2 linked regions of the Drosophila melanogaster genome follow. The gene in region 2 interacts genetically with the main gene of each other region. Each region holds a gene or a part of one and is shown on either strand. Other genes may lie near its edges.

Evidence for each region.
Region 1: of Patronin (region 2) and Klp10A, changing one suppresses a phenotype caused by changing the other (phenotypic suppression), as found in Drosophila melanogaster (one study listed by BioGRID).

The regions. Positions count from the first base shown.
Region 1 is NC_004354.4:11,133,878-11,138,823, forward strand, and holds the start of Klp10A (Kinesin-like protein at 10A), read right to left. Parts: upstream 3,242-4,946; 5' UTR 2,990-3,241; intron 2,902-2,989; exon of another isoform or gene 2,219-2,901; 5' UTR 2,040-2,218; coding exon 1,003-2,039; intron 1-1,002. Other genes in the region: CDK2AP1 (CDK2-associated protein 1), read left to right, coding at 4,180-4,946. UniProt on the Drosophila melanogaster protein: Required during anaphase to drive sister chromatid separation to promote flux by actively depolymerizing kinetochore microtubules at their pole-associated minus ends, thereby moving chromatids through a 'poleward flux'.
Region 2 is NT_033778.4:17,532,849-17,537,886, reverse strand, and holds the start of Patronin (patronin), read left to right. Parts: upstream 1-2,020; 5' UTR 2,021-2,193; intron 2,194-2,237; exon of another isoform or gene 2,238-2,825; 5' UTR 2,826-3,031; coding exon 3,032-3,061; intron 3,062-5,038. Other genes in the region: eIF3b (eukaryotic translation initiation factor 3 subunit b), read right to left, coding at 1-817, 876-1,191, 1,308-1,422. UniProt on the Drosophila melanogaster protein: Key microtubule-organizing protein that specifically binds the minus-end of microtubules and regulates their dynamics and organization. Involved in mitotic spindle assembly. Regulates microtubule (MT) severing.

The sequences.
Region 1 (4,946 bases), on a different chromosome or scaffold from region 2:
CGACTAATTAAGGAACGCATATTGAAATGTAATCAATAAATGTGTAAGTTGCATTGTTTTCTGCCAATACTGAGTATTGATAACGCACGATGTCAGCAGTTGATTCACCCATTTGGATTTGTCAACACGAGACTACGTTATCATCGGCGAGATTTTGTGCATTAATGCCGGGCTATATTACTCATGGGGTATACTTTTTGGGCTATACTTAAGCGATTGCCGTGACGCAACTAATGGCATTACCAATTCCCGACAGCCACACAATACATACGAGTGCGAAAACCGGAAAGAGAAGCTAAGCAAGAAGTTGGCGGAGAAAGGAAAGGGGCAGCAGCAGCCGTAGCAGCTTTAATTCAATTGAAGCCAAACAATTGCTAATGGACAAATGCCGGGCCACAAGGCAGTTACTTTTTCGAAATCTCTTCCGCTGGAGAATTGGGTTTAGAGAGCTCGTGTGCAGATCGGCGGACGGAGTGGCCGGGCGGGGGCAGGTGAAGCGTCTGGGGCTTCCAAGTTAGTCATTCAACGAACTTGGCTATTTCGGGAGCAACCGCTTTCATGATGCATGTGTGTGGCTCTGTTGCCGTCTCTGTCGGCATGACTCAATGGGTCGCTCTAACAGAGATGCGCCAACGAAACGAGCTCGAAAAGTGACTGGCACATTTGGTTACTCGATGGAAATCTGATAAATGGGGCAATGATTTCTTTAAAGGATATGCTGCTTTATACTATATATGATTCCACTGCATCAACAAATTAGGTTTAAGATTGAATGATAGCTATAGAGGGTCATCTATAACGAAATAAGATTTTCTATAGTTCAGTTCAATTGAAATAAAGCCGTTTGCTAGCAAGGATACGCATTAGTAATTGAAGAAGCCTCCCCAAGACATTGGAATGTGTGGTCACCATATCGAGCGTTTGTTTAGAATCACTACTAGTAATTCAAACAGACCATATATGGAGTTGTTTTGGAGCTTGTTATTTGGATTGGATACTCACTTGTATACCATGGCATTGTCGCACGTGTCGTTGAAGGCGTAGTCGAAGCGAAACTTGTGGTTCTCCAGGAACTTGGTGAGGTCGACCTTGCTGCGCGGCTCGTGCACGATGAGCATGTCCTTGCGCGGCACCGAAATGACATCGATCTCCTTGCGATTGACCTCCTTGCGGCTAATGGGACGCTTGCGCACGCACACTGTGATCTGATGGTCATCGACGGCCTGGCCATCGAGCAGCGGCACAAATTCCAGCGTGCTCTGATATTCGCGTATCATTTGCGCCGTCTCCCAGTTTGGATTGCCCGGATCCTGGTTCATCAGCGCCACCTTCTCCTCCTTCATCTCGGCCTGTCGGGCGCGTCGCTTCTCGCGATTCTCCTTCAGTCGCTCCACCTCTTTCAATGCGTGCGATCGCCGGGTACTAGCGCCGCCAGCTCCCTGGGTTGTGGCCGCAGTGGCGACTCCTTGTGCCGCCGGACCAGCACTGGCTGCCGCGCTGGGATTGGGCAATGTGTTATTAGGCACCGCCGAGGCGATCCTTGTCTGCTGCTGGCCGGTAGCAGCTTGCGAGTACCGTGGACGCTGTAATCCAGTGGTCGTCGACGTTGTGGTGCCACCACCTCCGCCGGCCGTAGTGTTGGAGTTGCTGTTTGTATTCACGCTATTGCTGCTGACAATCGGATTGGGAATCGACTGGCTTTCCTGGATCTTGTTCAGCATGTTTCCGGCCATGGTCATACGGCTGGTGAGATTGCCACCGATAGCCGATTGTGTGGGATTACGCGAGAGGTTCATCGGCGCGGTGGCTTGTTTCTTGGGCTCCGGGGCGGCGTGCTGTTCGACAGTATCTTGCATTAGCTCCGGATTGAGCGTGAGTATGGCGTCCAGTTCTACCTCCTTGCCCTTCGTTTCGCCGCGCTCGTACCATTCGACTGTGATGCACTTGCCCGACTGGTTGATCACCGCCACCACGGCCATGTGGACGCGGCCATCCGTCCGCTTGATCTTGACGCTCTGCCCCACCGTAATCATGTCCATGATCCTTCCTCTTTGACTCCACCTGTATATCTCTATTCTCCACCGATCTCTTTCTCTTTCTCCCGGCTTATCCTGCGTTAACTCCGAGTACTGCTTGATGGACAGCAACTTCCACTGCTTGCAGGAGGAGTTCCGTTAGTCGTAGATGTAGTAACTACGTTGTGGTGTGCAAAATGTGCCTAAATAAATACATAAACAAAAAACACAATTTAGTCAGATTTTTTAGGTCGAAAATAATTTTATTTCGTTGTTTCTTGACGAGCGATAAACTTGTGGAAACTAAGCCCCGAACCGAATTCAAGGCATTGACAACTAAATCGAACCCAACTGCTTGTCGAGGTCGCCGACAGCGTCTGTTTTTTTTTTTTCGAGTGTCCCAGTGTGTGTGTGTGTGCTGCTTGCGGGTCGGCGTTAGTATGTGTGTTTGTGCTGAATTCAAATGCCAACTGTCGTTTTCGTTGCGTCTGGCAACGGATAACAAAAAGGAAAAACGGCAGCCCGCTGGCTGGGAATTGGAAATAGGAAAAGGGGAGCTCCGAGCCAGCGTAGGATCGCGAAAATCCCAACCGAGTTGCTGCTTTTGTTGTTGTGCGCCCATTTTGTGGGCACTGGCGGCACTGTGCAACACTGACACACACATAGCGACACATATGCAGCTGCGGCAAGCCTTTTGGCCGAAATGCAGCGAAAAAAACAACAAACCGCGGCGTTTGGCAGCCAATCAATGCTTTCCGCTCCTAATTAGATGCAAAACTGATGAGAGAGAAACACAACACTTGCACACACACACATATGCAAGGAGTGGGGGGAATGCGTTTGCTTTATCGCTTTACGTCATACACAGAGCACCCACACACACTTGCGAGCAAACACAAACACACACCGATGCAGAAAACAGACGGTCGCGGAAATTTAATTGAATTTTTCGCAATCTTCTGCCTTTCGCTCACCTTTCCTGCTATCTTCCCAACCGCTACAATGTGTTAGCACTTTCCATTAAAAAAAAAACTGGCGGATTTATCGACCGATCACAACGAAATATCACAAAATCTGCTAGAAATAGTTTTGCAAGCGACCAGATGTCAGCAACACAATTTTTTAGTTTCGCCTCGCCATTGTTTTTTGTCCCCGCCGCGTTGCGCAGCACTGGACTGCAGCGCAAACAGTGCTGGCAATCAGCCGTTGTGTTTGAAAAGTGAGACAATTGGCGTGTTAATAAGTGAATAAAATCCATATTAAGCAGGGTTACTATTGGCTAAGTAGTTTTTGGGTATATTTATGACTTTTTAGTAGAAATACAAGTATAATTTTGACAACTTGAGAGTTTATTATTAAGATTGATGTCTTGGCCAACACTAGGCAAAGTAACCGTTAAAAATGTCAGCTGTTTTGGAATTTATATCAATAAGTAATAAAAATAAGCGACCGCTTTTGTTGGCATAAGCATAAGTTCATTAAAATGTGCCTTATTTATTGAAAGAATCAACGTTTCGGCAATACTTTGTATATTTGTGTGCAATTGGCTTTTCCGCCCCCCGAAACTAGACAACACTAGACATACATAACGTTGGGTATTTTTAAGCCCTAACAAAATTAGCTGTTTAATAAGACAAATTGGGAGTGCCTTATCAGGGTGAACTAGGTATTATTCGACGTGGATGGTTATTCATTTGCATGGTTTTACCGTTTTGTCATTCATGTATACATATGCACTTGGGTTAAATTTTGTAATTTTCTTGTAGTTTTATGGTTGTTAATTATCTTTTTTTCAAAAACATTTAGCCATTTACCAATTTGGACAAAGAGCTTTCCACATGTATACAAATTGCTTGTACAGTGGAAACACCCACATTCGAGACGCGAATAGGTGGGCACTTTGCATCGCGCTTGTCTATCGATACTATAATCCGAACCATCGACTTTTGTTGGTGGGGGTGTATTTGTTTGTGCGTTGAAGGGAAAGCGTAATAACGCCTCCTGATATCGATATCGATATCATATCACAAAAAACAATAAACCAAAAAAGAAACGCTAAAAACTAGTAGTTTTGTGTGCCAGGAAAACGGAAAGGTGGACATAGTTAAGTTACCACAACAACCGACGGATATCGACTCCAGACACCACATCGCCCAGCGCCACCATGGACATCATGGATATCCAGGCCGTAGAGTCCAAGCTGAGTGACGTCACGGTGACACCGATACCGCGCAGCCAAGTGCAGAATTTCTACAATTACCAGCAGCAGCGGGAGCAGCGCGAGCAGCAGCCCCAAATCCAGATATCGGCCATCCACCACTCGCGTGGATCCGTTGGCGGAGGAGGCGGATCCAACTCATCCAACGCTGCCACCGACTACTCCACGAGCAGCGGTGGCAAGCGGGAGCGGGACCGCTCCTCCGCCAGCGACTACAGCAGCTCGTCCAGCAAGCAGAGCTCCGCTGCAGCGGCCAATGCAGCAGCAGCTGCCGCCGCCGTCGCTGCCCTCCAATACTCCCCGCAGTTCCTCCAGGCCCAGCTGGCGCTACTCCAGCAGCAGTCGAACACGACGGCCACGCCGGCAGCCGTCGCCGCTGCGGCCCTCTCGCTGGCCAACATGTGCTCCAGCAATGGTGGTCAGCGGAATTCCGGTGCCGGCGTTTCCTCCACCTCCTCTGGCAGCAATGGCCAGAGCATGGGCCTGAATCTGAGCTCATCGCAGCTAAAGTACCCGCCACCCTCCACCTCGCCCGTGGTGGTGACCACCCAAACTTCGGCCAATATCACCACGCCGCTGACCTCCACGGCCAGCCTGCCCTCAGTGGGCCCGGGCAATGGGCTGACCAAGTACGCCCAGCTGCTGGCCGTCATTGAGGAGATGGGCCGCGATATCCGGCCCACGTACACGGGCTCGCGCAGCTCCACGGAGCG
Region 2 (5,038 bases):
GTCCAGGTCCTTCTTATCCTTCTTCAACTTTGAGTAACGATCTACCTTAACGCACAGATAGTCGCCGGACTTTTGCCAATGTAACTTGCAATCGGCCACATGGAAAAGGTTCTTGTTACGGATCTCACGCTTCTTGGGGATCTCCATCAGGGTAACGCGGGCGGGTATTTGGTTCTGCTCCTCCACCCAGTAGGCAATCACGTTGTCTGTGGGGGACCAAGAGAAGCCACGAATGCCGGGAATCTTAATGGACTTCAGGTCCAGAAGATAGAAAGAGGGTGTCTCGTAGATGTGGATCGAATTCTCGCCCATGCGGGCCACAAACTTGTCGTCGTGCGACCAGCGGAACATAGAAAGAACCGACATGCCATCGGCAACAAACGAACGTTTCTCGGCTCCAGTGCGAATGTCCCAGATGATGATCTTTTGGCCCGTGGGTGTCGGTCCGTAAGTCACTAGGTAATTCTCGCAGGGCGAAAACTCAACGAATTGGGTACCAGGATGGGGAAACTTCTGAATCTTCTGGAAGCTACTGCCACCCCAGATGGCCACACCGGGTTTGTGGAAGGTGACTACATAAGTACCCAGGGGCGACCACTTGACGAAGGTGTCGGTGAAGCGTTCGCGAGTCTCCAGCTCAAAGGGTTCGGGCAATACGTTTTGCCAGAAACCAACCTGCACGCAGTTGGGAGCGGTCTCCGCTGCCACGCAGTACTGGTCATAAGTGTCCGGGTCATTGATGAAGTTGTATAGATCGCTCTGCACTTTGAAGGTCTGCACGGTTGGCGGCTCCCACTTCTCGGGGATGTTTTCGTACCTGCCAAGATTAAATTTTATTAATCTCATTGCTTGATGCGGATGCAAGGAGAACTTACTTTTGGAAATCGGTGAAGAGATTGACGGCAAAGGTGTGGTTTTTGTCTAGGCGATGATTGTTGAGCTTCTTGACGGCTTCCTCCGCCTGTCTGGCCTGCTTGTACTCCATGAAGGCGTAGCCCTTGGTCTTGCCCTCCTCGTCGACGGGATAGACCACATTGACGATTTCTCCGTAGTTCGAAAACAGCTTGTTGATGACCAACTTCAGCTTCTCCAGGCGCACCGGCTCCACCTTTGGGATATTGTCCACTACCACCACACTCTCGACGCCATCGGCCTCCGAGGGGCGCTGGGCCAACATGTCGCCCAGCAGATCTGAAAGTGCATCACGAATATATTTAATTAGATATGCAAATGCAAACTTTCGCACACCGCACACGGATTGAGGTTAGATCGCCGCGTGTGATGCGCTGGCAGTCGGTGATTTTCACCTTCATCACTAATGTTGTCCACGAACCCGGGCGGATCGTCAAAGTTCGGCTCCTCCTGGTAATCACTGTCGTTCGCATCCGTACCGGAGTGCTCCTCGCTTTTCTTCTTGGCCATATTCAGCGATCTATTTGCAATTTTCCGTCATTAAACACACAAGCACAAAGTGAAAAAGGAAGAGCGAGATGCCGCATTTGCCAGTCAAGGCGAAACACTGTTTTGTGTGAATGGTTAGTGTTGCCAACTACTCACTGCGTTGATAACGCGGCGGGGTAACTTTTATTAATATTTATAAATACATATGTACATGCATATATTTTAATTTACTGTTTCTTAGATTTATTTGTATTTATACTGCATATGTTTGCTTGACAGCAATGACAATAATATCTGGATCCTTCTCTTATGGATCCTTAACAACAGAATCTTAGGTGCTTATCTGGTGATAATGTGTTAAAACGGCTAAATATTATCATTTTGTATTTCATGTACATACAATTATTTAATATTAGTCAATATGTATTAAGCAAAGTATAACCTATAACAACTAGTTTAATCGTTCTTTAATAATACATACATTTTTTCCGCTTGCAACTCTAGCGATGGAAGTTTTGAAGCATGTTCAACCGATTTTTTAGAATTAGGCATCAATCGATTTGTTGCCGATAAGCCAAAACCGATTGCATCGAGTAATCATCGGCTGGGGTTCCATCTCTCACATGAAAATTTGTAAGATTTTAGAGCAGATCGGTGTCCGTGATTTTCTCAATTTAAGCCCAATTTGTAGTATTAAAGCTGTTGAAAAATGCAGCGGGGACGAGCGCGAACCGTGTGAAATGCATGCGAAAGTCGTCGGTGCAGCAAATCAGTGCGAAAAACATCCCAAATGTGCGTAGGCCCCACACTCACTCTCGCACACACACCCGCGCGCACATACACAGCTTTTTCGGTCACCACTCGTTCGCTGTGGGTGCGAGCAGTACCACACTAGCAGTGTCGCACACCAGCACTGCCAGTGCAGCGGGAGCGACAGAGAGGCAAACAGCGGGCGGCGGACAACAACAGTGCGAGGCGAAGGAAAATGTTTTCATTTACTTAAGTCGGCGGTTCCCCAAAGAAAATTGGAAACTTGCTGGCTTAAAACGGATTGGGAAAACATTAATTATACCATGGACGGGCGGTTGAACACTGCGATGGGTTGAAAAGTGCGTAAATGGCTTGTCCAGACGAGCAAATCGCAACAGCTGATGCAGCAGCATCTCGAGAAAAGCGAACAGGCAACTGTAAAGTGTTCTCTGTTATTGTCGCACTGCAGCCCCGCCCCCGCCCACCACCCACCGTCGCGCTCCGTGAATGATTCACATTTTCTTTCGGCTGCCCGCCTGCCTTTTAAGCTTTTTCCCTGCCCCGCCCGCCGAAAAAAATTCGCTGACAATGCGTGTGCGCAATTAGTTATTTTTCTCGATTTCCAAGTGGTTTGACAAAGTGCCAATCGTGTTTTTGTATTTTCTTGTGTTTAGGCTCCAAGTGAAAATCACCTAAGCTGAGGAAAACTCCAAGCCACACTCACACACACACGCACTCGCTCGCACGCAGAAAAGAGACAAGTGAAAAAGGAAAAGCGGTGTGTTGTGGTCAAACATAGAGTGCGAAAAGTGCAAAAAGTGCGGAAAGTGAAGTGGCGGGCGTCGGAGAGCCGGAGTCCGTCGCAGGAAAATCCGTCAGCATGGATGTCGAAACACAGGAAATACGACAGGTAAGCGCAGCAAGAGGGCTTCCCGTGTACAAAGTTACACATAAAATAAACTCATATTTGAGCTAAAAACAAAAAGCACTCATTAACATTCCAACGGAGGCGAAGCGGGCCTAAACACCTACTCTCTTGGCCAAAATGGTGCGCTGAGGTAATGCCGCTCGGCAACTTAGCGCTTAGTATGCGACCGACACCTACTTACCAATCGACTGGTTTCGATGGCCAATGCAAACAACTACAACCGGTAGTTGTGTGGGGTGTGCTTGTGCTGATCGGAATATAATGCCAGCAGCCAACATCCATTCATAAAACTGCAGCTGAAAAATCGAAGCCGGAAAATACGCTTTACCCCTGCAAGATTAGGCATTTGTTATCGTTTTTCTCGCTTTGAGCTGGCCGCTGTTGCATGACCTAATCGCTAAATATGAAAAGAAAAAACAAATAATAAAAAAAAAAAAAAACGGCTTACGCATGCGAATGCCAGGCGCAAAGGGAGAAACGCTAACACTCTGCTCGGCGGTTTGGGGCCTTGCGTGTACACCGACTTTTCCCCCAGACAACTCCCTAGAAAGTCGCGCTGGAGTCTCGTTCTTGGCCAGCAAAAACAAACAGCTAGGAACCATAACGCGAACCGAACCTATGGCTAAACCCATTCAAACATTCAAACATCCAAGCGCTGACTCAAGCGGAGCACTCTCTTCTTGCCCGCTTTCCTTCATCAGCACTCTTTGTTATATTTAGCCGCAGATATCGCTGCCCATTCTCTGGAATGCCAAAAACAAGCAACGTTCGGCTAGATAATGAAATCATAAAGTCGCGCCAATTTCAATTTGTGACATTTGAAAACCACCAGCAACTGAAACTTTATTACAAACATGTGATGGAAATGTTTGCGGCACAGAGAAAAAACATCTCTAAACTGAACAACAATAAATCATCATTATATTCATTTTTAGTTTTATTTTCTTAAATATAACAATTATCTCAGAAAACACTAGTTTATTAGCTTTCTAATTATTACTCCCTCAGCAACCTAATTCTCATTAAATTAGATTGTTTTTTTTTCGTGTGTATTTGGATGCTTGAATACAAATATGCTATCCATCCATCCATCCATCGTTCGTTTATTCATAGTGGGCGTCCAAAGCAGCACTCATTTATTGTTTTTCTTCGAATTGCCTGCACGGTCTTTTGAAATTTGAGTTTTAGACATTTTTCCCCCGCGAGTCAATGCAAAGTGCAGCCAGAGTTTTTCCGTTTCGTTGGCCATTCAAATTATGTTGCGGACAGTTTCTTGCTTTTGGTGGAAAGCGCTTCGCTGGGCAAACAGGTTTTCCCTCCACCTGTTGACCAATTCGCATAGCTGGTCGGTCTACGACCTACGCCAATATTGTTTTCCCCGCCACTGCACTTTTCCCCCCTTATTCAGCTTGAATTATTTATGGCATATGGTTACAAGCATTTAATCCAAAAACCGCCCAAGAGCAAATTCTTTTCAACTGGCTTTGGGTATACAAAAGAATCGAACCACTTTGGTGAGATTCTCTGACATAGTTATTGATGACTTCATGCAACGATTTTGTAAGAAACCCGTTTGAAAATTATGGAATGAAAGCCAATAATAAAGACAGCATGGAGAAGTCAATGCATTGCAGCAAATACGAAAGGCACGCCGAAATCAAACTGAGTTAATGGTAATTGATAAACTTACCCCTCGAAGTTTTACCTTATCTCCAACTGTTGCTGTCTCATGTTTACTTTCTTATTTATTGTAATCCCACTAACATTAAAATGGGGGTCTCTATAAAATAAAGATAAACACCTACATCTTATCGGACACAAGCACATGTTTTATAAGTCTAGTTGGAACGTATTTTGCATTGGACTCGACCGATATAGAACCAATTTCCGCATCTGCAACAGCGACAGTTTCCCTCTTGAGAATTTATTTTGATTGCTTTTCCCCCATTTTCAATTAGA